Struthio camelus: one gene and its partner. Each later gene encodes a partner of the first gene's protein in a complex. Links are inferred from orthologs where the notes say so. Each region holds a gene or a part of one and is shown on either strand. Other genes may lie near its edges.

The links.
Region 2: VAMP7 (region 1) and BET1L share a complex: the UniProt entries of both Homo sapiens proteins name them as parts of the SNARE complex. The link is inferred for Struthio camelus from reciprocal best matches to the Homo sapiens genes VAMP7 and BET1L.

What each region holds. Positions count from the first base shown.
Region 1 is NC_090952.1:3,655,609-3,670,473, reverse strand, and holds the start of VAMP7 (vesicle-associated membrane protein 7), read left to right. Parts: upstream 1-7,709; 5' UTR 7,710-7,832; intron 7,833-8,447; exon of another isoform or gene 8,448-8,533; intron 8,534-8,772; exon of another isoform or gene 8,773-8,944; intron 8,945-9,401; exon of another isoform or gene 9,402-9,470; intron 9,471-10,532; exon of another isoform or gene 10,533-10,634; intron 10,635-12,094; exon of another isoform or gene 12,095-12,142; intron 12,143-14,584; exon of another isoform or gene 14,585-14,608; intron 14,609-14,811; 5' UTR 14,812-14,824; coding exon 14,825-14,865. Other genes in the region: DNA-directed RNA polymerases I and III subunit RPAC2, read right to left, coding at 841-917, 2,282-2,379, 6,607-6,714, 7,600-7,638. UniProt on the Homo sapiens protein: Involved in the targeting and/or fusion of transport vesicles to their target membrane during transport of proteins from the early endosome to the lysosome. Required for heterotypic fusion of late endosomes with lysosomes and homotypic lysosomal fusion.
Region 2 is NC_090946.1:7,680,267-7,695,013, reverse strand, and holds BET1L (BET1-like protein), read left to right. Parts: upstream 1-6,661; 5' UTR 6,662-6,854; coding exon 6,855-7,002; intron 7,003-7,443; coding exon 7,444-7,535; intron 7,536-8,264; coding exon 8,265-8,321; intron 8,322-10,215; coding exon 10,216-10,383; 3' UTR 10,384-12,521; downstream 12,522-14,747. Other genes in the region: RIC8A (synembryn-A), read right to left, coding at 1,627-1,674, 5,087-5,170; CIMAP1A (ciliary microtubule associated protein 1A), read right to left, coding at 14,179-14,265. UniProt on the Homo sapiens protein: Vesicle SNARE required for targeting and fusion of retrograde transport vesicles with the Golgi complex. Required for the integrity of the Golgi complex.

The DNA of each region.
Region 1 (14,865 bases):
GCCCAGGGACAGCAGAAACTTTTCCCACAGTTAGTTCACATGGGGAAAGGGCTCCTTTGGCAAGGCCAACAGTCAAAGTACTGACTATTTTTAAAAGTCAGTGAACACAATCTAGCTACTTGCTTCTAGGAACTGGTCTCTTATATACCTGATGCTCAAGGAAACAGCCTCATGGCACATGGGCATCTCTCTAGGCAGCAGAGAAAGCTGCTGATTCCACACAGCCAGAGTGGAAGGCACTGGATGAGGAAGGGGACTACACTGGAGGGGTTGGTGTGCTGAGAGGAATGAGGATCTGCAAGAGACTCAGAGGTGTCCATGGAATCTATTATCAGGGGACAAAGTCCTCTTTGAGAGGCAAGTTTGTGGAAGAGCACGGACTGATGAGGCTTTTCGAAAGAGCCTCAGGTCACAGCCTGATGGCCAAAGCTACAGGATGACTTGAAGGGAGAAGCAGAAACAAACTCTCTCATGAGGTGTGGGTTTGCGATAGCAGCTAAGTAAGTCAGCACACCTTGGCTTTGCTTTCCAAATCCCAAGCTTATTTAGGGGGACATGGAGCGCCCATCACCTCTGACTGTGAGTGGCAGACCTACTCCACCCCTGCACTACAGTTCAGTGCCTGGGACCAAGCAAAGCCATGCGTTCCTCAATCCTCAGCGGGCAGAACACTACTCAACTTTACGGCCAGGTAACACAAAAACTGTAGCATAACGGCTCAGTAGAGGAGGAGAAGAGTGCTTTCCTTCCTTTTTTACAACCCATGGTTGAGCCCGGACATGAGCGGGGGGGAATCTCACAAAAGTACCCCAGACAAAAAGGCAATGCATGTGCCCATACCCCTAGTCTGGATCCGGAAGTTAATCTTGCTTTCAGAGGGGTGAGTGATGCAGTAACCACAGAACTCCACATCCGGGCTGCAGGAGAGGAGAGAGAGAAAGACAGCAGTGAAGCCCAGGCAAGTTCACAGCAAATCTCAGGGAAGTCAGAGGCACAAGCAACGCCAACAGCTAGCAAACCCGCTGGGTCTCAAGATGTTTCTAAAGCAAAGGGGTCTTATGGGAGGGGTACACAGAAGGGAAACTACCTATGCAGTCTTATTCACATTCCTCATCCCTCTCTAAGCTGTGGCTGGAGCTTTGCAGGGGAAGGACAGAGCTGGCACTCTTCTAGGTACTACCCGGACACTGCACAGCAGCAGGCCTGAAAAGGTAAAACCAGGGATCCTGGCTGCTTGGAAACTTCCCCGTACAACAATTTGTTGTACTTCTGCAGGGCAAAAGCGGTTGAAGGGACTAGGGCGCTGCAAGGATTTACTGAGATGGTTTGCAGGCTGCATGGCATCTGCCTCTACCAAGAGGTGGCTCCACTTGGGAGAACATCTGTGTTTTTAGCAGAGAGAACAGCCCCTTGCAAAGAGTTTGCTGCTTTTCTCATCATGATGATTTATCCGAGGAATTCACATGACATTTGCAATATAGCTGTCATTTGAGATGATGGATTCAACTCCCTGCTCTAATTCTTCTGAGGGTTACAAGGAACTCTTCACAAACCCTCAGTGCTGCCCAATTCAATAAAACTGCACGACCAGTGTGACCCTATTTGTATATTTTGATGAAGTCAACCAAATAATTCCCAGTATCAGCAATGTGTCTCCAAGCGGGCATGAAAGATTACCAATTTGCTTAATACTAGCTACTCCCACCCTCACTTCTGAAGGGACACGTCCCAGGAAGAGAGAGAGGTACTCTCTGACCACATGCACTTGCATGGATTTGGGCATCATTTTACCAACGGCCAAAGACTTTCAGAAGACTTTTGCACATCACATGTTAAATTTCCTCCATAATTAACTGCTAGAGAGTAATGAGGGCTGGCTGCTCCCTAAGGGACAAGGAGCCACACTTGGTAACACAGCTGGCAGGGCAGGGGCCTCACCAGTCAGGGCCCCCCCATCCCACCACCCCACAGCAAGTGAGTGGGGCAAGCCTGGAGATGGCAGCTGGGGGCAGCCTGGAGCCCAGGGCATCAGGCAAGTTCACGGGGTTGAGATAGGTCTGAGGTCAAGCTGGGAAGTCAGTCCACAGACCAGGATCAGGCCCTGTGAGGACCTTTGACATCGCATGCCTAATGTAAAGAACCTAAAAGATGTGAATTGAGGTAGTTTCTGAGCATATGCCTTGCTCTAGCAAAAATTAAGAGGCGGGTCAGTAAGGAGAAGGCCAGGGTAAGAGAGAGAGGGACGCTCAGCGATGCGGGACACCACAGGGACTTCACTTACTTCTTCATGACCATGTATCGGAGGGAGTTGCCAAGTGTGTGATCCTCATCATGCAACACAAATGTGACACAGTTTCCATCTGTCCCATCTGCCTGGACCTGCCGCAAATTGGGGAAGAAGAGATGCTGTAAGGTACTTTCAGAGGTAATGAAGGTCAAGCCTACAGTGAAGAATAAATTACTGTGTCCAACTAATTGAGCTGCATCAGTTACGTGAGCAGGGGCTGAGAAAATGATAGTCAGTGCTGTTTCCTGAAACAGGGCTCTCTATGCAGGGCCTGCTTCTAGGGAACTCTGTGTGTGAGCCCAGGTCATACATGGCTAACTACCTGCAGACAAGTAATGTACTTTCGATGCACGGAGTCTTAAAAGTACAATTTAACAAAAAACAAGTACCTACAATCAGAGAGTGTCAGAAGTCTCTTAAGGATCCAGCTGGGTGATGCCCCCACAAGGACAGTCTCTCAGGGAAGAATCAGGAATGCTCTTAAACTGTACCTAGAGCCCTGTAAGCTCTAAAAGCTATCCCAACACAGAAATACCACCACACAAGGCAAGGCAAACTTCCTAAAAAAATGTAAGAGGGAGAGAACATCCAAAAAGAACCTACTTATGACGGCACTTCATTAGAAATGTGTTTGGGGTCATTCAGAGCGGCAGAGGCTGGTCCCAGGGCCAAGAGAAACCCCAGCTCAGCTGATATGAGGGAGGACTTTGCAGGTCTTTCTGGGCCATCTCCACAGCTCACATCTCAGATGCTGCAGTGTGAGCAGCAGAGGGAAGAGCAGTTCCACAGCAGAGGGAAAGGTGCAAAATTACAGAGTCGAGGCAAACACTTCCCTCGATATCAAAGTGCCTTTGCATCCTTCTTCTTCAAGGCAGAGGAGAAGAGCCCAAATAAAGTCTGTAGCCGGCCTGCCTTCAGGATCCATGATGCAAAGTGGGTGGGACCAACTGTTCAGGTTGATGTGTTGCCAGGTCTCATCATTAGCAGGTGGCTAGACATGAATGAGAGGGACAATCAAAAAAACTCAAGGGGCGGGGGGAGGGGGGGGCACTGCTTGTCAGCAGAGAAATCTCATCTCAGCTTGAAAACAAAGGAAACTTTGCCACAAGTTGCTATGTGCAAGTCCTAATTCATACGCTTAGGATGTGCCTGGGGAGCCTTTGAGACTTCAGGCACCTACCAGCAAGCCTCAAGGGTGCTGAACCGCACACAAAATGAACCCAGCAATGCCTGCAGCCAGAAGTCAACCTCTGATCCTCCTGCTGCTTTTGGCTCAAGTGCTTGCAAACAGCACTGCCAGCTAGCACTTCCTAAGCAGGCTCGTTTGGGATCCCCTCCAAAACCAATAAGTCACTTAATTAATTGTTCTGCTGTCAGAGGGCTGAAGATCCTCTGACCTTTCCGCAGGCTCAGCACAGCCACCGTGGAGCCTGACATGGCCCGACAGCCCCCAACCATTTCCTCTCTCAGCAGCATCGAGAGGTTTCAAGGTTAAGTGTGGAGCCAGGCCCAGACGAGTGCTGAACTCTTTACATCCTGCCCGCAGCCAAATCCTCAACCGCTCCAGGAGTTTTATAACCCCTCACATTTCCTGCTGTGTAGCAACACTGCACAGCAGTCCCATTCCTCCTTCTGCAGGTACAACCCCCACAAGGAATTGACTCAGCATTTCAGAAGGGGGGATGCAGACTGATTTCCGAGGAGGAGAGTTCACCCAGGCCTGCAGCACAACTCAAGGGCAGGCTCCCGAAGCACCAGATCTCACAGAAGGGTAGATGTGATGCAGCAATGTTACGATGACAACGAAGACGCTGGACTGATATGGTCTCTGTCATCTCCCAGCATCTTGCAATCCATTCCCACGATCAAAGCACTAAGTCTTACTGACAGGGAAAATAAGGTAGTAGCAAAAACACTTTCCCTTGGTGCGGAAAGACAGCGTATAAGTGACTTGCCAAAGGCCATTTGGGCAGTCAGTGGCATGGATGAGACACCTTGCAAGCTCTTCCAGTTGCTAGACTCAACACCTCCCTCCTTCTTCCCAGAACCAGCTGCTGGCCTTAGTCTACCCTCCTGTAAGGCTTTTCCAAGAATACATTTATTAAGATTAATATCACCAATCGTACTTAAAAGCTTGTTTTCTTCCAAAGGCTAAAGGCTCATACAAGAACAGACTAACTCAGGAGTCACCTGCCTGCCAGGACAGGTCACATGGTCCACAGTTTGCTTCCTGCACCCCATCCCAGGATTAGAAGTGTGCCTGGGCACGTGCCAAAATCACAAGTGTCCCTCACCCCCCCAAGACAGGTACATTTCTGTTCACTGGGACAGTGACACGCTTGCAGTTTGGGCATAGGATGGGTGAGAAGCCCGAGCACGCAACTGTCGCATACTCCTTAGCTCAGACACAACCCTGGCCCTGCCCGGAACTGCTCCGGTGTCTTCATACAGTCCTCTCCAGCACCTCCACTTCTAATGACAACAGGCACGATCTGCAGTAATGAACTCAGCACTGCATAAATACAGCTGTACTGCATATGGACCCAAACAAGGCAGCTGTACTTGCATTATCCTGCCTTTGGGCTAAAAAGTCCTGTGGAGCGAGCAATCCACACAGCACTTCTACCTGCCCACTGTAGTCAGAGCACGGAGGAGAAAAGGACAGTAGCGCCATCCTACAGATGGGAAACTGAGGCACTGGGTGATTCAACAGTTTGCTCAGAGTCAGTCTCAGTGACAAAGTCTGATGCTGCAGTTAGATTTCCTGAATCCTGCATCAAGGCTTCACCTATTAGACTCTTCCCCTGGACAAAAAGGGGAACAAACACAACAAACAGATGTACAGGCAAGAGCCAAGAGATGCTTTTCCAGGCTGAGATCAAACGTTTACAGTTGAGTTACAGTGTTGTATAAAAAAGATAGGATGAAAAACAGGATGACTGGGACTTTAACATACAGCACTAGAAGTTGCACTGACTTCAGACTCATTCGCAGAGTTGAAGAAAAACATCTGCACGGGAAGGTGAGAAACAGGACAGGACATATCTCTGGTACAATTGCTGCATTAACTTATGAGTCTGCAGCAAGTGCTTAAGAGAAGCAACATGTGGCAGAGATGCAGAAGTCGATCCACCATGCAAGACGCTACCATGAGTTTAGCTTTCTCTGCCTGCTTACTGCAATCTGCGCACCCACTGCATTGATCGGGTAGACAAAAGCCAGAGCACGGCTGTTTCAGGCAGCTGAAAGAAATACTCTGTGTTGAACAAGTTCGCTTCACAAGAGATTTGATTTCTCTCTCCTCTTTCCTGTGAAGAGTCCTCTGACACAATTCTGGATCTCAGCCAGAATGTAAGCTTCCTTTCTTATCAAGCTATTGGCCCACCTAGTCATGTTATGATGATAGCATAGATGCTATCTGATGCTTCAGAGGAAAACAGCCACCTTCCCTCTGAGAACACGCCTCCTGAAGGATGGAGTCCTTTCTGGTCCCGGCACCAATCAAGCCTGCAGCTGGAGGCAGAAAGCTGAGATTTTTCAGGGAGTTCTTACACATCTCACCCAGGAGGTGTTTATGTACCAAACTACCCATCACATGAAAACTCCTTCTCCTACGAACCAACCTGGAAGAAAGCCCTGACTCCTGTGGGATAGAGAATTTTGCTCTTCTGGAGTCTTTTGTCTTTGGTTACATGCTGACTTGCCAATAATATTACCAAGTTGTTCTTGTATTATGGTACAGGAAGAAGGAAGAACTGACGAGATCACAAAGCAGCTTTTGGGATCTGAAACGCAGGACTGATCAAATTAAAATGTTTCACGGACCGCAGAGATGGAAAAGCCCAAGGTTATCCAAGGTATACCCTCCCAGCAAGGTCAGGATACAGCCCTGGAGGCCTGGCCACCCACGCCTCAGACAACCTCCTCAGCCACAGTCTCTCATCCTCAGAAAGTTCTCCTGCTTAGGGAGGCTGTGATTTATGACGATGAATTATTTAGCATTGAATTTGGTGCCTAGGTACTGCAGTGGTGTATATATTAGCACAGCACTGAGCTATATGGGATCAGGATCGGATATGAAGTAGGACTGTTCCCTTCCTGCAAGTCACTTGTTCCTACAAGTCACTTGTTCCTATCCTAACTGCTGTTTACGCATAATTTGTCTTTTATGCTAGAATATACAGTCTTCTGCTGGTTCAGTCTGTATGAACCAATAACAGTCTCTACGCCTTCTCCTGGTTTTTTACGGTACTGCATTCCTCCCTCTGAGAGCCTGGTTTGCTGCCAAGGGCCTCTCTCATAACTGCAGCGCTTCAAACCTCCATTTCATTCATCACGTGAGACTTGCAGGATCGGGCTTCCTTGCAACAGCAGCTTTCAACCCGCGGCTTGCACACACCAGGGGCAAGAGTTTGGTCATGCAAAACCTGAAAACGGAAAGTAAAACAAACAAACAAACAAACAAACCCCAACTATTGCCTAGAGACTGGAGTTCCTTCTGTAGGGTAGGCCACGGCATCAGGAATAGTTTTGGAGCCCCCAGATTGAGAGACTATGAAAACCTGTTGTGCTAGGTCCTCCCCGAAGGGAGCTTGTAAAACCAGACAAACTTAAAAGAGCCCATTTGTTTCTGCTGTACAGCTGCCCCGGTCCTCAGCTCCCCCTGTTTTTGACTGAGAGGCTGGCGCGCAGAAGAGCAGACCATCCTGTGGCAGCTCTCCCCGTAGCCACGCGTGCTGTCATCTGCCAGCTTGGTGCCTCAAACCCCGCTAGCGCGAAGTGTGGTGCCATCTAGCGCCTTTCACTGCCTGCAACGGGTACCAGAGAGGAAGGAAGGAAGGAAGGAAGGAGGGAGGGAGGGAGGGAGGGAGCAAACTCCGGCCAGCGACCCCGGGACGGGTGCAAGCGAGCAGATGGGGCCCGCTGCCAGCGCCTGCACAGCCAGCCGAGGCCTGGCGGTCGCAAACGCGTAGCGAGCCACCTCCGACAAACAAGGCTGCTTTTGTAAAACGCCAGTCCTGGCCTCTTCTCGGCCAGCTCGTTAACGCGACACCGCCGCTGCTCGCTACAGGGCAGTAAAGGGAGCCTCAAACAGCAGCACCGCAAGGCGCGCAAGTCAAACGACGCAGGCCGCCACACGGCGGGGCCCGCCCGCCCCTGGCCGAGCGCCCCTGGCCGAGCGCCCCTGGCCGAGCGCCCCTGGCCGAGCGCCCCTGCCTCCCTGCGCGGCGGGAGCGACCCCTCCGACCTGCCCCGGCCCCGGCCCCGGCCAGCCCCGAGCCGCCGCCGCCGCCGCCCGCCGCGGCACTCACCACCTCCAGCACGGCCTTCTTCTCGCCCTCCTCCGCCATGGCCGCGCCGGCCCGCGAACTACAGCTCCCAGGAGGCAGCGCGGCCGCGGCGGGAACTACAAGCCCCAGGGGGCCGCGCGGCGCCGCCGCGCCGGAAGTGCGCGCGGGCGACGCGCGGCGGGGCAGCCGCAGGGCGGATAAGAGCGCGGCGGGCGGAGGCGCCTGCGAGCGCGGCGCCTCGTCCGCGCCGGCCGGTGAGCGGGGCCGCGCCCGGTGCCTCTTCCCGCCCCGCCCCCCCTCCGGGAGAGCAGCCGGGGGGGGGGGGAGCGCGGGCCGGGGCCAGAGCGGAGCCCTCCGGGGAGGCGGCCTGGGCCGGGCCCGCCCGGGCAGGCGGCGGGGGGTGTCTGGGGCTGCCACAGGGCCGCGCTGCTTCCTCGGCAGGTCCCGTTCCCCCTTCCCCCCCCCCCCCGGGCCTTAACGCACCTCCTCGTCTCGGCCCTGAAACCTGGGGGCTCCTGAGCGGGGTCGGGTGCCAGGGGCAGGGCCGCCTGCCCAGCTCGGCCTGGAGCGGCCCGGTCCGCCCCGGGGGGGTGGGGGGGAGGGCTGCCTTCACAGCTGCCTGCTTTAGTTAACGTCTGGGCTGTGGCGTTGCTGGTGTAACTCAGGTGATGAGGGTCTTAAAGGTTAGGTGCTGATGAATAATCTGCAGCGGTGCTTGTGATAGGAGGGTTGGGGGAGAGGCTGTGAGTAATCATGCTCTAGGATGTGTTTCAGCTGTTCTGTGTTACCTCCTTAGTGTGCTGTTTAGTCGAGAGCTGTGATGTTGTTTCTTTACTCCCTCTTGTAAAACGTGTGATGTTGCCTTCCAGAAAAGGTGGTGGGCCTGGAAGAGAGACTGGATTAATCTTGCCTAATGACTTGTATTCCTAGTGATGAACCAGAAGAGGCACCTGGAGTAAGCTGTGTGGGCAGAGAGGAAGCTAAACTGTTCGGTTAAGTTAGTGCATGAAGTGTGTGCTTCTCAGGCTTAAAATGAACAAATAAGCTCTGGGACTTAAAAGTTGGAATACCCCTAAACTATTTTTAAAAATTAAAAAAAGAAATGATTGCTTAGGGAAGTGAAGGAAGGGTTAAAGGGAAGTCTAGACTGCTTTCTGCTGAAGTCACTCTACTCAAACGGTCTTTTCATTGCAGCCAGGCAGCTTGCAACTTACAGAGTTGCAACACCTTAACTTATTTCAGGTTTAAAGCCAGTAGTACTGTGATGCCCCTTGCTTTCTGTACAGTGCATTTCTGGAAATATAAGCAGTAACTTCCTCGCTCACTTAGCCCTGAAGCTTTTGAATGCTTTGATCAAGCAGCACTGGTGAGTCCCCTCTGGCTGGTAAGGGCAGTACTGCTGAGTGATAGAGAATGGGTGCAGTTTCTCTGGGTTGAGCTCTTGCCCCAGCTATCTTAGCTACCATCAGACAGTTTATTCTCGGTCGTTAGTGAAGTGTGAGCACCAAACAAGTTCTGTGTGTGTTTTTTTTTAATCTCACTTGAAAATAATAGGCCGTTTGTTATATTTGGAGACTTCATGGCTGAAACTTTAAACATTGCATTGCAGACTGAGCCTGTATATTTTTCATTCTCTAAGATGCTGCACACTTTTCTGGGCCCTTCTGTCAAATATCACAGGAGAACTTGCACATAGCAGTGTGATACATCTTGCATTTAGTCCTTAATGTATGAATGCAAAACTCAACTCCCCTTTAGTACTTAAGCTGTACCTGATGCTTTGGGCACATCTTAAGGAGCTTTTTGGGTCTGGTGTTTTCTAGGTGGCTGAGGAATACAGCCTTTCCCTCCTGCCCTGGAGCCTTTTGATGTAAGGCCTGCCTGGTATTTCTGTGAGTTCAAACTGTCCTTTAGGAAGGCTTGCTCATGGTTGTTTTCAGCTATTAACTATCTTAAGTTTAGACAGACACTAACTCTGATTTCTAGGTTATATGAAGAGATTATATGAAGTAGTTGACTTCAGTGGATATAATTCCAGACTCTCTTGTAGCTTATGAGGAAAGATGTTTTCCAGAAGTTTAGCAGTTTGTTTTTTTTTCTTTAAAAGAAAGCACAAGTATCTTCTCCTAAGAGCTGGATGAGACACTGCTTAGAGAAATGTGCTCATTGTTAAGTTTGTTTTACTCCTTTTAATCAGCTTCCAGCAAAGCTGAGAGGAGAGTAGCTGGGAGAATGTGGCTGTTGACTACTAAGTAAGGCTGAAATTTGATTTCAGTCAGTTGGTTTCCCTGCTTACACAGGATTGCAGAGCCAAATTACTGACTTCTGGTGAAGCTGTATGGATAGCTTCTGAAGTCTCAGCTAGCTAGCTAGCATCATCTTACTTGTATCCTGTTGGTAACAGCCCTACTGAACTCCTGTCTCACGAAGAGCTCTACAAATAGCCTATATTAAAAGGGTGGAGACTCTTAAAGTTGTGGCAAGGACTTTAGAATCCTCAATTTGAACCTAGAGTTCTTCATTTTGGGAATCAAGGTATCTCTGTGCTTGGGTGGGCTTTGTAGTTCTGAGGTTAGTTGCTGTATGGCAAACTACTGATCCTTCACAGATGTGTGCATGTGTTTTGTTTTGTGTGTTTTTTTTAAACTGGTCCTTTGTATTGGTCCTATTCTCTTTTTCTATGCGAAAAGACTTGTTTCCTGATATTTGTCAGTCACCTGATTGCTCAAGAGGCTTAATCATGTTTGTTTAGTCTCAGCTGTGACCTAGTGTTATACCACATGCTGACACTGTTCTGGTTATGTTGCTGAGCTGGCCAAAACACTGCAGACTCTCTCAGGGGCTCTGATCAGACATGATTATATTCATTTCTCTTGTTTCAGTTAGTATTGTTGCAGATCAGTGCGCTGTTGTAATCCTTGTTGCAAACTCTTAGAACTGTGCTTTCTGCCCAGCAGTTCCTTCCTGGTAGGAAGTAGGAAAAGCATTGGTGATGGCTCCTGAAGAGACTTAGCACCCTGCTGAAGAGGAGTTGAGTGAGTAGAAAACAGAACAGAGTGAGTTGTGTAGTTCATTTTTGTTGAAATTCCTGAAAATGATCAAAGCTAAAGGGAGGGATAGGTGACCAGTTTAAGCTTGTCTAGAATTGCTTGTGCATACCTGTTGATGCTTAATGCTCCTCTTTTTTTTGCCACAGATCTTTGTTTTTGATGGGAAGATGCTTGTGCTCTCTCCCTGTGTCCTCATCAGAGACAAGAATGAGCTGCTGTCCCTTTAATCAAGGGAAACTAGCAACAGTTGCCTGGCAGTTTTACAGTATTGGTGTGTGTTTTTGGGGGTGTTTTGATTTTGCAAGATCAGAATCAGCTGTTGGGCTGCTCTTGTCTCTGGTGTGATTAAACTTTTAACTTGAGTTATCCAAGGGCTAGTTTTGTTTCATATTTGTCTATAAATTTGACTTGTTGGGTCTTTTTGCTTTGGCTTGGCTTGGCTTCTCTTCTGCTTCAGCTTATTTGTGTAAAGGTAGTGGTTCCTTCAGGAAGGTTCCAAGAAACTATTTGCTACTTCATGGCTTACCTTGGAGTAATCCCTACTTCTGTTTGTCCTTATCCGGTTGTTCGTATTTGATGCAAATAGTGCTGTGTCATATCAGCTTTTAGTCTCCTCAGGTCAGTGGAGGGAGACCTGTACTTACTGATTTGTTCAGCTTGTGTTTAACTAAAGTTAGGTGAGTCTTGGCTTAGAGCACTGAAGTCTCACTTTGTGACCTTCAGACTTGTCTGTCTCTAGCAATGTGCTTTGAAGAGCTGAGAGTAGGTTAAGACGAAAGGCAGCAAAATATCGCCGGAGACTACTTTTCCTGCTCTGTTATCAGCTTGTGGCTGCTACAGCAATTCAAGGCTGGATTTAAAAAAGGTGTTGGCTGCTTAAGTCTTCAGTGAAAGGGTGTCGGAGCACTCGGTGACAGGAGTATCCTGAGGTGATTTGGATATGTGCACGTTGACCAGTCTGTAGAGTGCTACGTACAGCTTTCTGGAAGAAAGTTTGTATTTTCTTTACTGGGGTAGCTCTGAAACACTCTAGGCAAGATGTGATCTGGCAGTCTAGTTCAGTGATACTGGCAGGAAAAGGTTGTGGTCAGGCTTCAAAGAGCCTTTACGAATGGCTTTGACTCTCTGCTTGTCTCTCTTTTTTCCTCTGGCTAGTCAAGCTTGATGAAGTAGTGGAAGAGATGTTAGGATGCCTTGGAAGAATGCTTTTAAACCTCTTTAATCCGTTTGCTCTGAACTGGTAACGCTGGGACTTTAAGCTTTTGTATAACTGTTAACTGTCTGTCTATGGGAAGAGCTCATAATCATACGGATGGGCAGTGAGATGGGGAAGAGCAGTACTAAAGCTAAAGCATTGTAGGAATCATAACCTCCCCTGGGGCTGGACCATAGATTTGACTTCACTGGCCACCTGCCCTGCTGATTAAAGAAATTACTTGTTTGTCCTAATTCTTCTCCCGGAAAAGAGAACTCCTGAACTGTGTTAAGAATGGCTGTACTGAGTAAGACCAAAGGTAGGTCCTACCTACTATTTGCCATAGTGACTAACAGGAAGCATGGAAGTATAGAAGAGATGCGATGAACTTGGCTCTGAGCTGTTGCTTGCCTGGTATTTGTTTAATAGTGATTCTTTCTTCTGTAAATTTGTCAGTCTCTGAAAAGTTCATGTGAACTCTTTCTCCATGATACTCTCTCTGAATAAGTTTGAGGGTGCACTGTGTGTAAAGAAATACTTCCTTCTGCTGGATCCTGTTCTCAAGAACATTCTCCTCAGTTCTGTATTGGAAATTGTGACTAAGAGCAGCTTTTTTGCTTTACATTTTCTGCTTGGGTATCTTTTCCTGGGCTGATGAGTTCTTTTTTTTTTTCCCCCCCCCTTACATACTTTCCACGTTACCCTTTCTCTTGCGTATTCTGTAACTTCTACAGTCGTCTTCAAGTAGATGCTAATAGTGCTTATATGGTTAATTAAACAATATCTGTCCTGACCTTTAAAGATCACCTTTCTGAGCTGTTCATATTCAGATCTTTAGATGTAAAATAACGTGTTTTTTCTTCTGTCATGACAAGACTCTTTAATGTCAGAGGGCAGGTGTGAGGCTGCGAGTCAGTGTACCTGTGACTGCGCCAAGTCAAGCAATGCAAAGTAGCGCAAGGGAGACTTCCCCTGTCCTTGGTAGAAATGGCACACAGACAGGTCTGGAGAGTGTCAGCTTTAAGCCAGAAGGAAGTGAAAGAAGCAAATGTGATGGAGGGGGACTGCTGCTGAGTGCTCTGGTGCTTCCTTCCACCATTTGGTTTAATGCTTATCGCTTGTCTGACTCTTCAGAAAGAGTGAAGGAGAACAGCTTATCTGAGAATTCATGCCTGAAAGGGGTGAGGTGGTGTGTTATGTGTTCTTTCTTCCCCTTTGCTGATGCCATGAACTTCCCCTGTCAGTTCTCTTTCGGGAGGTGCGTTTGGTTGGGTGCTATACTCCGAAGCAGTGTCCTTTGAGAGCTTTTATTACGATTCCTGCTTTGCTTGCTGGTGTCAAATTAATTCTTTGCCTTCTGCTCCCTTTTGTAACGCCAGTTCCGAATACCTCGGTGCTCTTGTGTGGTTGAGTTGAAGGTTGTGGCATAGCCATGGAGTATCTTCTGAACAAGTTCATAAGCTTGCTCTTTTGCCCTCAGCTGTTGAGCTCTTGTGCCTCTGGGAAGTTGTGTGACTGCTGATGGCCAAGCCTGAAGCGGTTAAGTTCTGCCTGATTAAAAAGAACTGTGAGCATTGCAGCAGTGAAAACGGCAGTAGTGACTGTATTATAACTTCATGGTCTTGTTAACAGTTCTGCACTTACTTCACCTCTTCCATTACTGCTGTGTTGTGCATCAGGTCAAATTAAATTACAAGACGTTCAGGGAAGAGCTGTCTGCGCAGTGCCTGGCAGGATTGATCATTGATACAGAAGGCCTTGCTGAGACTGAGAGGTCATACCGTTCAGTGCCAGATGGGTAGAAAGTCTCACTGGGCATAGTCTGTGTTCACAGTCTTTCTACAAGTGCTCTTTGGATCCTAAAGTTTAAACCGTTGTTTCAGTCCTGTTGCATTGATTCATAGAGAAGCTTCCAAGTTACTCAGTTGCACTAAAATAGCTGTATAATCCTTCTAGGCAGAATGCAGTGGTTTCTGGACGCAAAACAAGAGGCAGTATCAAGTGCAAAGTGAAAAATGAGATTTCCTTGCAGGGTCAGAAGTCTTCCAAAGTCTTTTCTAAGCAGAAAAGAGGCTTATGGATGTACTGGAATCAGCTGAGCAGATGTCACAGCTGCAATCTGACATGTGGCTTTACATTTTAAATCTTGAGTTTGAGTAGATTAATGTGGTGATACCTGAGCTGATTGAGTGTGCCCTCTTATATGAAAGCATGCATTTTTTCCAACTCTGGAAGCTTCACAGAACTGCAGCCCTCAAGCCCTTGCATTCAGTAGTCTGTACAGTTTGATACATGTGCAAGAATGTCACCTTGGGAAAGAAGTATGGCTGTAGATAATCTGCATTTTTCAAAGCAAGACTGCACATTTGCAAACTGATTATGTGCTTTTATAGAGGTCTTGGAACAGCATACACTCATGAGTGTCTCGACTATAAAAAGTGGATGTGTCTGGTGTGACTCTAAGCAGGTGGTAGCTTCTCTACTTCAGCTTTCAGAGTGGTGTCTTAGTTCCGATTACCATCAAACTGAAGTCATATGTTAGGGGTGGTGGATTTGTCTGTGTAATTAGTTCCTGTTAGCATACTTGCAAGACAGTTGCTTTCTGAACTGCAACTTACTGGCTGCAGGCGGTTTCTTCGAAGAGAAACAAGCAAAATCTGAAGGATCAGTAGAAGAGCTGAAAATCCACTAATATTTAGAAATCTAGGTAGAAAGAATGTAGACAAATCTTATTATGGGTTCCTTGACTGTAGGGGACACAATTGCAAAAAAACACCTTCTAGAGGTTAGTATAATCTTGCTGTGATCCTGAACGTGACCCAAAAGAAGAAATGAGAGAACAGGAAGATGGCTTGCTGAAAATTATAGAAGTATTGAAAGTGCTTAGGCCTCCATCCCATTTTGCTGAGAGTTGAGAGAATACTGTTAAGACTAATGTATTTTCTGCCAAATAATGCAAATCTAATACACTTTTTTTTTTAATTCTAGATAGTGTGAAGTCATGGCTATCCTGTTTGCTGTTGTTGCAAGGGGCACAACCAT
Region 2 (14,747 bases), on another chromosome or scaffold:
GTTTACAATGCCTGAAGATCTAATCTTTCTGAATTAATGGTATCTTATGTGACAGCAAGCAGTGGCAGAGTCCAAGAACAAAGCTAATGCTTCACATAGCCAGGTGCATCTTGGTTATGTACAATAATACTCCACGTTACACTAGTAACTGTTCGTTACCCGTTGCGTAACGACTCATACCATGGTGAGGCAAGATTTCACTAGATCTCTCTAAGACAATACCATGTAAGAGCACACATTTTCCCATACATATTACAAGAGGAATCAAAACACCAGTGATTACAGGGTTTGCTATAGCTCAGTGTAATTGGCTTAATACAGCCTAATCAAAGATATTTCATAATAATAAAAAGACTGAGGACAGGAATGAAGGAACTGTACATTTTAGTTCTTAGCATGAGGCTTAATATGAGAACTGAACGAGCTTTACCCCCTTTGCACCCTTGCCACAAACTCATTTTCTCTTTCCAGCAGTCTTCATCCAGAAAACTTTGCCTGCACGAGTGAAGCGTGTCTCACAATCACACCCTGGAGAAGGGAGAAAGTACAGCCATTCCTCTTCTCCTTCCATATGAGGAGACTGAAGCAGAGGAGTTAAAAAATATATATTCATAAGTGACCAAGGCCTCTGACTGAGTCAGGTTAAGACTTCAGAGCGTGTGCCCAGGTCTAAACCTTCAGAAGAACTGATCACCAGGAATAAGATGTGATGCTCAATAGATATCTCGTGGGACACACCCAAAAAGTGAAGTACCCAAGGCTGTCTGAACTGACAGCCTATCGGGCTCTCCTAGTTCAAACAGGAAGTCACTAACGAAGCAAAGGGCTCACATCTTCTCAGACCCAGTCCCTCGCTTCAGGCTGTAGTTGGAAAAACTTCACGTAGCATTAGCTGGCATTGGCACTGACAGAAGAGGTCCCTTTCTCCACCCCAGTTGCCTGGTTCATGCCTACTCCTGCTCCACTGCTGTGCTAACACAAGCATTAGTGCAACCAACCAATAAAATGGACCACAAAACTAATCCAGCTGGAAAATAACCCAGGCCAAAAAAATAAATAAATAAATTACTCTTTAGCCAGATCAGCCCACCGAACACGTTCAGTGTACAGCCATGCAAAGGCCTGCCCTGGCATGAGAGAGGACCCGCTGCAAGAATGAACATGCCCAGCCAGGAGTATTTCTCTCCTCTGAGTGCCAGATTATGCTATCTTAAAGTGTTTGTCAGTCTACAGCCTTAGCCATACGCTGCAGCTAACTCGCAGAGAAAGCACTTACCTGCTAGAGGCTTGCATGCTGCTATAATCTTTGCCTAGGGCACTCATACCATTTAGGCGAACACTTTTCATATACCTATGGCTGAGACTATGTGCAGCACTGAACCTAGAAGGGTCATTAAGGCTGGGAAGACGCTGCCCTTTATCCTAAAGCATCATGTGCTGATGGAAAAGCTGAGGCCAGATGCTTTGCGCACACCATTCCCTAGCCAAGTACTTCCCCAAGTCTGAAAAAAGCACTGACTTCTTTGCCTCTGGAATTCACTACCACCAAGCCGTGCTGCACTCAAGTATGGAGCAGCAGCAGATTTACCCACCCAATTACAGGAAGAAATCAAAGAGCATGCTTACCTTCCTGTCTTCCCGCTCCTCATCATCAAAGGTGAAGCACTGATATTTCTGTGGGGACAGAAGAGGTGGTGGGGGAAAAAAAAATTAAGCTCCAGCAATAGGTTAAAAACCTGCAGAACTGTTGAGCCCCCATCAGGAAAGGGTCACTCAGCTGGTAAGCAGCAGGTCTAAAACACTGGCAAAAGCAAGCACATCTTTTCAAGGACGGTCCTTACCAGTGGAGTGGCAGAGAATCAGCATGGCAAGGAGAGCCAGAGCATTTACAGGGGTCTAAGATATTCACAGGATGGTAGCAAGCAGTGGAAGTTCCTGAGAAATCAGACAGGACAACTTTCCTGCCACCGAGGTTTGAACTTGCTTGCTGTTTTTTCTCTCCAAGATCATCCTTCTTTAAGCAACTCAAAACTACGTGCTTCAGAATTAGCAGGGATGAATCTGGGTTGAATTGCACAGATATCGGCCATACCGTGAGGTCTGAAATGCTTTCATTGACCAAGATCCCCGTTATTCTGGAGGTCCCTGCCTCTCATTCATCTCCAGAAAACATTTGTGATGAATATTAACTGTTACACTTTCTTACTGGCTCTACAGTGGAGGCCTGAATGCCACGGGCCGAAGCTGTGCCCATCCGACTGACGGATTTATTTTTAAATACTGCAGGAGGAAAGTAGGTATTCATCGCAATCCAAATATACTGCAGTATTTTATCATTCCTCTGCTCAGTGTCACAACAGCACATCCCAAGCTGTGCCAATACATTTTTTCCCCTTGATATTTATTGTTCCATTTCCTTACGGAAAGGAAGTACTGCCTCTTGTTATTTGCAAACAGATCCTTGTGTTCTTCATTCCCACAGTGTCTGGAAGTACAACTGTTTTTCAGCTCATGTTCTTTACACACAACTGATTAGCAAAGGTAAACACCCTTCTCCACATGGCGTCTCACAGGGTGCGCTTTACTGCCCTGCATTACTTTGCATCAGTACTTGAACTTGCACTTGCACTTGAACTCCACAAAACGTTGCATAAATATCCCCCACCAACTTGGGCGGCACTGCGGGGTGGGGAGGTAAACAAGTTCATCTGAAGTCTGCAGTTTCTTTCACGCAGCTCTCAATAAGCCAGGCTTCACAACAAGTACTGCAAAGAACGTATTGCTAACAGCAGGCATACAGAACAGCTCACTCCATCCTATTCACCTTTCTGCTTCTGCGAGCACTTCTGCCAGAGAGGTCCACAGATCAACCGTGCGGTGTAGGAGCTTTTCCTTTCACCAATGTGTTGTCTCACAAGTCACAGACAAGGACCGTTAGATTAGTCAGTCCGATCTCCTGCATAAGACGGTCCCAGAACTTTACCCATTATGGTCTTCTGGGAGAAGAAGCGTAAGGAGGGTCAATATTTATATAGCTAGACAGAGGTTTGCGGATGTCATTATCTCCATCATTTTCTTAACGCTCCCCATCACCTCTTTTGCCAAGTTACATTGCACAGATGCATTTACGAAGCTGTTCAATAAAGACAATTAGTCTTACCACAAACAATCATTCTTATAACCTGGACTAATTCTTCTCCTGAGTGATTGCAGTTCACCGAGATCCCATCCGTATGTCTGAATAGCTCAGCTTGTCTCCTACGGTATGTATCACCTTATGGTTCTCCTGCCCATGAGCTGCTCAGTTGTCCAACTGTATCTCATTCCCTGCTCACTGCAGTCAGTGATCGTCTGCACTGAGCTTTTGGAAATCACACGTGTTCCTTGTTAGCCTTGACTCATTCACTCTGCAAGCATAATCTCCTCTGTTGTTCACTGCCTTTTACACACAGGGCCAGCTCCTGGCTACTTGTAAGTAGACGATACAGTTTGCAGATCAACAGCGTCACAGTTACTAAGATCCCTGGGACAGCTTTGGCTTTTTTGGCCTAGAACAAAGAAGGATGGATACAGTGATGCAGACATGCCAGCTAAGAAACCTCGGTGCAGAAGCAGGACATCTGAATTCCTGTAAGCGCTGTGCCAGGGGCTGGCCTTCCATGCTTTAGCGCTGTGAGTTGGTACGCACACAGGCTGTAGCACCACATTACAAGGAACTGGCAGTTCAGTCCTCGAACCGGTGTGCTCTGAAGACAGCGCCATGTCACTTGTTCTTTTCCTTTCCCATCACATCTTTTTTGCAAGTTCCTGTCATCTCATTCGTATGGGTTGCTGCAATACCTGTGGTTTTGCTTCAGTTGGAGTATCCTCCCGTATTTCATTCCTGGCAACCAAGAATCGACCGTATCTATAATAGCAAACTGCATTCCAAAAACATGCCCAGGAAGTGATACCTTACTATCAGTTTTTGCAGTGAAAACTCATGTAGAGAAGTTGCTTAGTTTATTTGTAGTTTCCTATCCTCTTTGACTGCTCCATTTCTTCTAGACCGACTAGCAAAATCACTGACATTCTCACAAGTTTCCTACGCTTGATACACCGACAAAGGATCCAGCTGGAGGAATTCTACCAAGAACGTCTTAAATTTGACACATTAAACTCCCTCTTTGCTCTCCTGATTTCTTCAGCATTACGTCCACTGTAGGTGACTGTAATCCTGCTGACCGTCTTTCTAGTGGGGACCTTCTGCTTCTTAGTTCAGATTTCCAATGTTTCGAAAGTGACTGCTGGGAATAGTTGCACATTTTCCCCGTGCACACTTGTGCACAATACTTGCAGTTTTTCCCTGCTTGCTTCCCACCTGCTTAAGAACAGTGCAGAATGAGTCATGTAGATCTGCAGGGCCAGCCCTATCCTGGTGGAAATGCTCTAAGAGATATTTCCCTGACAGCTAGAGTCTATTTCAAAAGGGAACTACCCCCACAGATCATCTTTGCTGCTTTAAGGCTAGGAACACTTCCATTTCTGCTTCCTAGCCGTTCTTTTCATATCCTATATTCATTTTTTATCCTTTTCTTATTGTTAGCTTTCAGATCAGGCACCTGTACCTAATTCCAGCAGTCCATCCATGTCCACCGCTGGTGATCTTTTGCTTGCAAATCACAGCCACTATTTCACCTGCAGCTCCTCCCTGGGCCTCAGTTCTATTACCTCCAAACCTTGCTTTAACCTAAAAGCTCCTCCTACTTCATATTCATGCTGATGTTTATTTCCCTACCATGCTTTACTTGTGCTCCGGATAATAAAAAATGCTTTCTATGTGCTTTAATTCCAGTACACCAAGGAAATAAGACGAAGAGATGCTGCTTAGCTGTTCCTTACCAAAACACGAAATACAAAACCGTCTGCAAACAAAAGATGAAGCGGTCTACAACATTTTTACGGCAGTAATGCAGAGACAGATGCGCTTAGAGGAGACAGACGGGGGACCGCCGGATGGCACAGAAATCCCACAACATGGCCAACCTGCTTCTAGGCTCACAAACAGAAGCAGCTGACGTCAGGCAGAGGTTTGGTGCTCACTCACCTCCTGGTTGTAGACCTGAAGCACCTTGAGAACTGTGTCTTGCTCCCCGCTTTCCACCGTGGCTACCACAGTCCTCAGCTCCATTATCTCACCAGCTCAGCTGCTGATGGAGGCGAAACAGGCAGGAAGGGGAGCGAGGGCACTTCCAGAGCTCCTGGACAACGCTGATGCGAAGGGACCTTGATACACAGAGAACCGAGGGAGTGAGAAAGGGGTGGGGGAAAGGAAGGAGGGAAGGGGGGAGAAGAAAATCCACACACAAAACAAAACCCCCAAAACACAAGTGGGATCGCTCACTCCGCTGCGTCCATAAAAGCAGAGCAGATAAGATAACGCAAGCAGAACCAGGCGCTAGCTCCCTCTCCCTCTAATCCTGTCTTCTTCTCTTTGCCTCCCAACATTTAACATCTGCCCTCCCAGCACAGCACTCAGGAAAACCTTCCCCCCACCCAGCCAGAGGATTAACATAGAACAGATAACAGCAGCTCCCTGAAATAGCTCTCTGCCTCCTCCTCCTCTGGCTGTCCTGATTTCTGTTACTGCCCAGGAGCAGGGGGGAGGGAAAAAAAAAAAAAAAACAGACTCCTGTGGAGTAAAAAGGGATGGAGAGGAAAGCAAGGCAGAGAGGCAAATACCATCCTGGCTCACTTAAGACTGCCTTTTAAGGTGGTGAAAAAGGTAGAAATCATTAGGATTTTTGCCGAACCTGTTGAAGGGGATAACCCCGTGCACCGGGGCCCTCGGTGCCTGCGTTTTGGAAAGATCAGGGCAGACACACCGCGTACGCCTCGAAACCACACATCCGGATGACGGCTGGCCTGCTTGAGACCCTCAGCAGACAAGGTCCTTCACGGTAAGGGCGTGAACGAGCAGATGCGGGTCTACAAGCGTGAGCCAGGACAGATGCTGTGTCTCCGGCGCTGCGCTTCCCTGCGGCTTTGGGGGCAGAAAAAGCAAGAGCGGGCTGCAGCACTTCTCATTTTTGCTTCACTCCCCCCCCTCCCCTCCTTCCTCGTTTAAGTTCCCTCCGCGCCATTCCTGCGCCCGCCGAGGCCCCTCCGAGCCCTTCCCCTCCCTCCCTGCCTCCGCGGGAGCCGGCGGCGGCGAGCGGAGCGCAGTTACCTGCCCCTGCGGACCCGTCCCTGCCCCGCCGCCCCCGGCGGGCTTCGCGGGTGAACCGCGGCGCCTGGCCCGGGGCTGGGCGGGCGGCCTCCGCCTCTCGGGGCGCTACGTGAGGCCAAAGGGAAGCCGCGCCTCCATTTCTCCCCTCCCCGTCCCCGGGTTTTCTCTCACAAGTTCACTCGGGGAGAGGGCGGAGCGGGGGGGGACACCGCGAGCGCCCCAACGCCGGCGCCGAGGAGGAAGAGGAAGGAGCCTGCGTCGCGCTCTCCCCCCCCCCCCCCCCCCCGCCAAAACGGCGGCGGTGGCGGCGGCGGCCATTTTGTAGAGGCGGGGGGCCGGCGGGGCTCCGCCTGCGAGGCGGGCCCGCACCGCCGCCTCCCGCCGGGGCCGGGCGCCGTCATGGCGGAGTGGGGCCGAGGTGAGGGGGAAGAGGGGAACGGGCCAAGCCGGGCCGGGTTGGAGGTTCCCTTCTGCCCGCTGCCCTGTGGGGTGCGGCGCGCTGCCACCGCCGCCATTTGGGGGATCGCCGCCGTCGCCGCCATTTGGGGGATCGCCGCCTCGGGGCCCGCGGGGGACGGCGCGGCGCGGGGTGACAGCGTCGGTAGCGCCTCCCCCCCCCACCGGCGACTGCTTGTGGCCCCCCGAAATGCTGGCGGAAAGGGTCGCGCTTCTCGCCGGCCCTTGCGGGGATGCCGGCGGGGCTGCCTGGGCAATGACGAGGGGAGGTGTTGGGGGACAGAAAAACCAGCGAAGCCCAGAAGCGCTTTTACAGCCTGACCCCGCTGCAGGGAAGGGTAAAAAAAAAAAAAAAAAACAAACTGGCCTTTTCCTTCCTTTAGCCAAAGTAGCGTTCTGTGGAGATGCGCCCTGTCGCTGGTGCATGGGACAACGCGCGTCCCCCAAGCGAGGGCGTTGAGGGCTACTGGCGCGCCTCCGCGCTTTTTTAGAGCTACTTTTGGCGGCTAAAGCCCCCCGGCACGTTTCAGGATTTCTTTCCCGAGGGCTCTGGCCCTTCCTTTCGGTGGAAGAGCTTGGGGGGGGAGGGAGGGCGTTTCATGGCGGTCGCCATCCGTCCCCTGCGCCGTGGGATGCGGGAAGCGCGAAGGCGGCTGAAACGGCCCGTCCGGAGCGCCGCAGCGACCCGTCCCACAGCGAACTCGCTCTCCTCCTGGGGCGAGCGAACATGCTGCCACTTGTAAGTGGGACCGATAAAACCCTTTCTCTTTTTGTGCCAGGTCAGAGTCCGAGCACCGTGGAGGATATGTTAGATGCCGAGAACAAGCGTATGGCAGACAGTCTAGCCAGCAAGGTCACCAGGCTGAAATCGGTGAGTTGCTGAGTTCGCATCCGGGGCTGCGGTAAATGAAGTTTACCTGGGCTTCAGTTGCCTGCGTTGTTCGTCTTCCTCACAGCGCCTTGTGGGAGACGCAAACCTCTGGCCGATACAGAGGGCTTCCTCTTTATAAGCAGCTCTTAAGAGAATGTTGTAGTGGATCTAATAGTCAACTTTCCCTAGTGAAAAGCGGCATCAGGTAAGGCGTTTTAGGCACAGAGAGAAACCTGAGAGATGCACAGAGGAGTGTTGCTAAGTGCATCTCCTCTGGAAGAAAAGTCACAATAAAATGACAAGCTACTTTTGAAAAATACCCAGGTATGTACGCATGTGGTGTTCTAAAAGTTAGTTTGCCCCTGCTAACGTCAAGTACTTTGATTTAGAACTTAGTGTAAATCAGTGATTAGTATTATAGCAGGTAGGACTGATTTCTGCTGTTGTGAATATTTAAATGCTTGTGTCATATATATGAAGCTTCTGTCTGATAGTAATGCTTTACTTCCAGTGCTATAGAGCAAAATCATTTAAACAGTCATCAACGGAAATGAGAATCCTGTTCTGTCATTGTACCAAACAAGGCTCTGTAACTCTATACAGGAGGCAGGGGGAGGTGGTGGCTTGCTCTTCTATTTGCGTTTCAAATTTTTCCAGCTTTGGATGCGCTAGAGGTGGTCTCCATGTTAAAAGTTCATTAATACCTGTTTCCTCCCTCATCCTGTATAGCTGGCTCTGGATATTGACAAAGATGCTGATGAACAAAACCATTACCTGGATGGCATGGTAAGAAAGCAATGAAACGTAAAAACCATGGTTTTTTTGGGGGGGCTAGCTCTCAAGCAGTTACCTTATTTGTGAAAGTTAATAGCAGTTCAGTAAAGGAGAAAAAGTTAGATTTTCCCGTTGGCAAGCCACATAATTCAACTAAACCCGCTTACTGTGGGTTTATTGATAAATAAACATTAGCTGCTCATACCGCTTTGAATGGGCAGCATAGCCAGGTATCTAGCATCTGGAAACACCCACGTAGGACAGTGTACTCCAGCAATACAGATGGAGATTACCTACTTACTGGGATTAAAGACCTGCCTCCTGTAGCTAATACTGGGAGATGGGCCTATTCCTCGGTTACTTCTGTGATTTTTGGTAATGTTGTATAAATCTGTCAGGATTACTCACTGTAATCTCTGAAACACAGAATAGCTGTCAGGGTTCACTGATGTCTTTGGAAGGAGCAAGGCTCGCGCTCAGAGTGCAATCAGGTTGTTAGGTTCCCTGTTCTGTTATCATTCTGCTTTAATTTCTAGAGGTAACATAAACATCGCATGCACAATGGCTGATAAAACCAAAGTCACTTTCCGGAGTAATCTGCCTCTTAAGCTTTGGTTGCTGATGGAGAATCCCCGTGCTGTGGGGAAAGGCCAGGATGACCGATTACTATATTAGTGCCTAGAAAATATATTATCATTTAAGGTCAGAAAACAAGGTAAGGTTTCTCTTGCCTCTAGATTTTCCCTATCAAATTAAATATTCCTATATTTAGGTCGCACTGTTAGTTTCTGCAGCGTTACCTAAATTGAAATACCTTAAAAAGTTATGTAGCACTTGCAGAGGAAAGACTTGTAGCAGAGGCAGTAGCAGAGGGCTTACCTGCTGAGGCTTTTTGGGAGAAACATAACTCATTAACTGAACTGTGAGAGGAAGGGAATCCCACACAGCTATTTGAGAAGAAGGTTAGCACAGTAACACTGCTGCTTTGAGAGACTTTTCTGCACATGCTGCATTTTTGACAACTGGTAGGTGGACTGGAGAGAAGATAATTGTGGCATTGAAGCCAATTGAGTCAAAGATGTGAGCTCAGCTGGAATCTTAATAGCAGCACACAGTGACAGTGTTGCAGTATCTGAAATGGATACTTAACTCAGCCAGGAAATTAAGGCGACTGGAGAATCAAAGTAAAAGATGTTATGGCAAAGAGCTTAAAGGAGAAGTCCTAAATAAACATGAAATTATGCTTCTGTTAGGGGAGCTTTTCAAAGATTTCGGGAGAAACATGAGTAGAAGCTACAAATAATGCATGAATAAGGAAAGCAGGCCAGGAGTCAAAATTAAAATGACTGAACTGCATTAATTTGACAGTTGTTTGCCGGTATCTGACAAAAAGTTTTACATGCATGCCATCCCATTCTAAAGAAAAAGTAGAACTAAGGGAAATGAATTGCACCTTCTTCTCTACTTCTGAGCTAGTCCCAACATGCTATGAATCGACGTTAACTTCATGGAGAGACATTTCCTTCGGATTAAGTGTTCACTTGTAGAGTTGCCATTAACAAGCTGTTCCAGGCAGAATAAGCTGCACAGGTGCAATTAAACAGTGCAGTAAGAGATGATTTTACAACAGTTTAAAACATGTTAGGAAACTTTTTTTGCATTTGGAGTAGAACTTTTCCTATCCCTCTTGTGTGACTGGTTTGAGCACTGTGGGAATGGTGCTGTTGCTGGAGTCCGAGCACAGGAGTGAAAGAACTTTCTGAGAGAAACATGATTGTGGGTGTGGGGAGATAGGCAGTTACTGTGCAGCTACCTATTCAAATGTTTTTCAATCACTAAGGGAAGTTCTTCAGGAATAGCCTTTCTTGTTTATAATGTCTCCATTTTGCCTTTCTTTCTTCTTCAGGATTCAGATTTTATGAGTGTGACCGGCCTGCTGACTGGCAGCGTGAAGCGTTTCTCCACCATGACGCGGTCAGGGAGGGACAATCGCAAGTTACTCTGTTACGTTTCTGCAGGACTGATTGTTGTCTTCTTCATCCTCTACTATCTCGTGTCGAAAGCAGGGACTTGAGCATGGTTTTCATGCCAGGAATTTTACAGACCAAAAATCATGTGACGATTGATGGACTTATTCAAAGCCCTTTGCAGTCTGCCCTGTTGTGGAGTTTTTGAGGCATTCCAAACAGTCCAAATAACTTTTCTGTTCCTCAGCTTACTGTCATTGATCTGACTGGTCTTGGACATCTCTTTGTAAAATGAGTATGTTTCAATCTAAACTGATTTTCACATGTAAAATGATTTTGATGTTGTTAATGCTTAAGCCTTCATCTCTTGCCTTGTTGCCCGTGTCCTTCAGCCTATTTTCAAAGGCTGCTTTTGTGTTACCCACATTACTGATATTCCCTACTAGGCTTGTGAAGAGTTATGTCAGACACAATTCAGAGATTTGTCAGTGCTCCGAAGTTTAATAAACGAGCAGAAGTCCAGAAGCTGCAGAGTTGAGGATGCTGATTTATGAGATTTGGAGGTATGAACTTGAGACTTATATTCCAGCTTAGCCACTCGGCTCATGCACGGGCTCAGTTTCACCTTGACTTGGAGGCACATTAATATCATTGGTGTCACTGGGCTGGAATTAAGTTCGTACAGCTTTGAAATTCAACCAGCGGTAGATCTGGACCCTGATACACTATAATTGTTGCAGTGACGAGTTGCAGAGGAGCAAGACTTTACCTGAGTGATAGCTTGGCTTTATTATCCTTCTAGGTGAAGTTGAGGGTAGACACTGCAGGAAAAGAAGGGCCAAAGTCCTTAAGTTGCTGTTATTTGCACACGTATAATGTTTTTCCACACGCTTGAAAATACACTCCCGTAGACTGCTAAGGCTGTATGAAAGTTCCCATATCAACTTCCCCTCCAGTCGTCTTAAGATCATTTGCTTCAGGCCTCATGCAGTTTATTGTCGTTATTACAGTATCCCTGTACTACAGCCCTTTGGAAAGACACTGCGCAAATAAAAATAGAGGTTGTGGACAAGTTAAACTGCATCTTGTTGAGGTGATGGTTGGAGGACAGGGAAGGATTTGACCTGAGGGTTGGTGGATGTATTTATTTAAGTAGATGGTAACCTAAGAAACTCTAACTTGCTGTGCTGTCCGTTGTGCTTCTGGGATTCCTGCCTGAAATGTTTGTGGGAGATGTGTGGGAAAGCACATCCATACGAGTTTTGTTTATAAAGCAGTCGTTCCCAATGAACATGCAGTGCATGCCAGATTTCCTCTCCTGAAGCAGGGCACGTAACTCTTATGTCTCAGAAGGCTGAGAGTATCGCACCTGGAAACTCCAACTTCCCTTCACCCTCCTTTCCTTTCAGTGGGCCGATCAGCCTCTCACTTACGACACTACCCCATATGCATTCTTCCGTAGCGGAGTTATTTAAGTCTATCTCTAATTATAGCGAAAGATCTGTAACTTTTAAAATACTAGGCCTGTTGGAAGAAGAAACAAACAAAACCCACCTCTTTCTCTTTTCAGAGGAAGCCCTCGCTACCTATTATATAAACCTTTTACTATACAAAGCAGCTGTACAAAGGTACTGTGTTTCATATAGTCTCTTTTCTGTACCACGTGCTGATGTGATCTGGTTTTCCTTGTTGGAATTCTTTGCTTATTTTGTTCTCTCATCCTCCTGTAACGACTACCTCTCCAGGACTAAAGACTTCCTCCTCTTTTACAATCTTTTTTTCTAACAAGTGTTTATTCATCAGTCCCTGTATGTTTCATTTGGCCTTGACATTGTATCTGTAGGAATTCCTTTCTGCTTGGGCTAAACTGGGTCTAGATCTAAACAGACTGTGCTGTCCTTTGCTTAAACTGTATCAGACTTTTAACAGAGTACTTTCATAATTTGATTGTGTGTCGTCTTCCCAAGTTTGGGGAAGAAGGGGCAGTGAAGGTGAGTAGGAAAGGAGGCAGCAACGACTTTCTCTGGTTTTTGTTTCTGCTTCTCTGGTAAGATGCGGCAGTTCCAAACTCTTTTTGCACTTGGAAGAATGATGAATCGCTTGGGTGAATCGCTGGACTCTTGTTTCGATTTTCTGAAGTGGATCACTTCTGCTGAGAGACCTCTGAAACAGCCTGGTCTTCATAGTAGTGGCGGTTTCGGTTTGCTTTTTATGTTCTAAATAAAAATATGTTTTTAGAATAGTCTGGCCAGGTGTTTTTTTTTTTTTCCTCTTGCGCTTATGTCTTAGCAAGATTAAAAACCAAGATCAGATCATTCTGTTATATTTAAATTGTACAGAACCTGCTGCCTCAGAGCCAAATGTAATTGTTATCTTAAGAAACAGTGTACGTGCAATGAACTATACAGAGATCTGACGAAAGCTGCACTAGCTCAGAAGTAGCCAGTCATTCATTAGCACTGTACAACCTTGTTTAAGCCTCCGAAACTTACAGTGGCAGTTACAATTAGAATCTTGCACACCATTAAATGTTCTAAGGACATGCACTATCCAAGAAAAGTATGAGTTTAGAAATGACAAAATTCAGATTTAAAAAAAAAATACTCACAAACAGAGCAATTAAACGCTCACAGCAGAACTCCTGTCCAGTATTCTATGTCAATCACAAACCTCCAGTATAGATATTTGTATACCTGTATAAATTAGGAAGAATGTCTTTTCAGACTGACAGGAATCCACTTGTTACCACCTTCATTATTTTTCCTTAATGTAAATAATTTGGGGACTTGATTGTGGCTTTTAGGCACAGCCCATTAAAAGAGAGAACGCAGAGGGACAGTGTTTCAGGCTGCACCTTGGGGGAGAAGCAAATGCAGCCCCAGGAGCAGCAGGCTCTCTCAACATGGGGGCGTAAAGATGCTCCGCTCTCCTGTGTGAGTGTGTAGGAAGGACTTCACTGTTTCCATGGGGCAGTGTTTTCCTGGGATTGCTCTCTGGATGGCCTGCGTCTGCCCTCAGCCTGGGCTCTGCTTTGAGGTGAGGAACGCTACTTTTCCAGGGTTAAGTGAGGAATTGGGATCCAAAGCCTATTTTGTTTAGCACAATCAGGTGAATACGTGCTGCTGGAGCTCTTTGGCGTTGGTTATGCTTTTGATTTTGGTGCTCTCCTACAGTTCTAATATAGCAAAGTTTTGCTGAGGCGTGAAAATTGAATAGGGAAAACAGACTTTGTTTCCCCCCCTGCTGCTCTAGGTGAATAAATAAAATCTTTGTTTTGTTAAAGTTGTAACATACCAAGAATTTGCATTCAGTTCCAAACTGTTCTCTTAAATACTGTTCTGTAGTGCCATCTAAAGGTGGATCGCCAAATTCAGTTGTATTGCCACATTATGTACAGAATAACTCTTACATTTTATTTTTCCTCAAATGCTAATGCCACAATTAACACGCCAAAAAAGAACCCAAAAACCACGCAGCTGAGATCACTGCAAGTCTAAACGCACATCAAAAGGTTATCTTATCAGTAGGAAGCAGAAAGTCTTTAAGGTGGGGGGTTGAGGTAATATTCCTGCAGTCAGTAGGATCCGGGTGCAAGCGGTCGCGTTCATCAGCGTTAGCGTGTAAGATTCAGTCAGGAGGGCCCAGTAGTGCCACCTCCTACTTGAATAGGAGTAAGCATGCAAAAAGTCCTTTGGTAGTAACAGGACGCGGTGCGATACCATGAGTAATCGCCTTCTGAATTCCTGTGCTCATAATTGCTTAGCAGAATGCAGTTAATTGACTGGAGGTGGATAACTGCAGGCCCGAGGGAAGCTGTGCCAAATCCTTTGGTTTTTAAAACGTGAAACAACATGATGCAGGCAAGTAAGTGCAGTTTCCAAGTGCAGCTTGCACGGAGATGATCAGCTGTCCAGTATCAGAGGGGTCATGTACTTTGAATGTCGGATGCCAAAGGTGACTGCGGGGGCTTGCGCCTTGGTCAGCGTCACCTGCAAGGGGGAAAAGGAAGAAAGGTGAATGGCAAAGGGGCGTCACTGCTCTGGACCTGTCCTGAACTGTGGTAGCAACCTGGTGAAACGGCGCATCTAGCAGGGGTTAGTTTTTAGTGATAAACGGTAGACGAAAAGAGAGCTATTTTTCCTTAACATAGATAGTCTTATTGTTTCTAGAGGCTCTCTTTCTAGCACAGGTGTCCTAGTAGAACAGGTTTCTGTTCAGTGATGACAATCTGTCACTTGAAAGTGTATTTATGCGACTTTGCCATTTATCGTATATTGGTGTATGTTCCCCATGAAACTTCTAGCTAGCCGTGTCTAGCCCAGCAGCACATTTACTCTGAACCTCATTTATTAGCAGACCATTAAAAACGTCCTTCTGCTATGAAACGTTCTATTGCTATTACCAATTGACATTTCTTTCTCTTTTTTTGAGGAGTAACGTGAAGGAAAAAGAAAAAATAGTTTAGGGATAG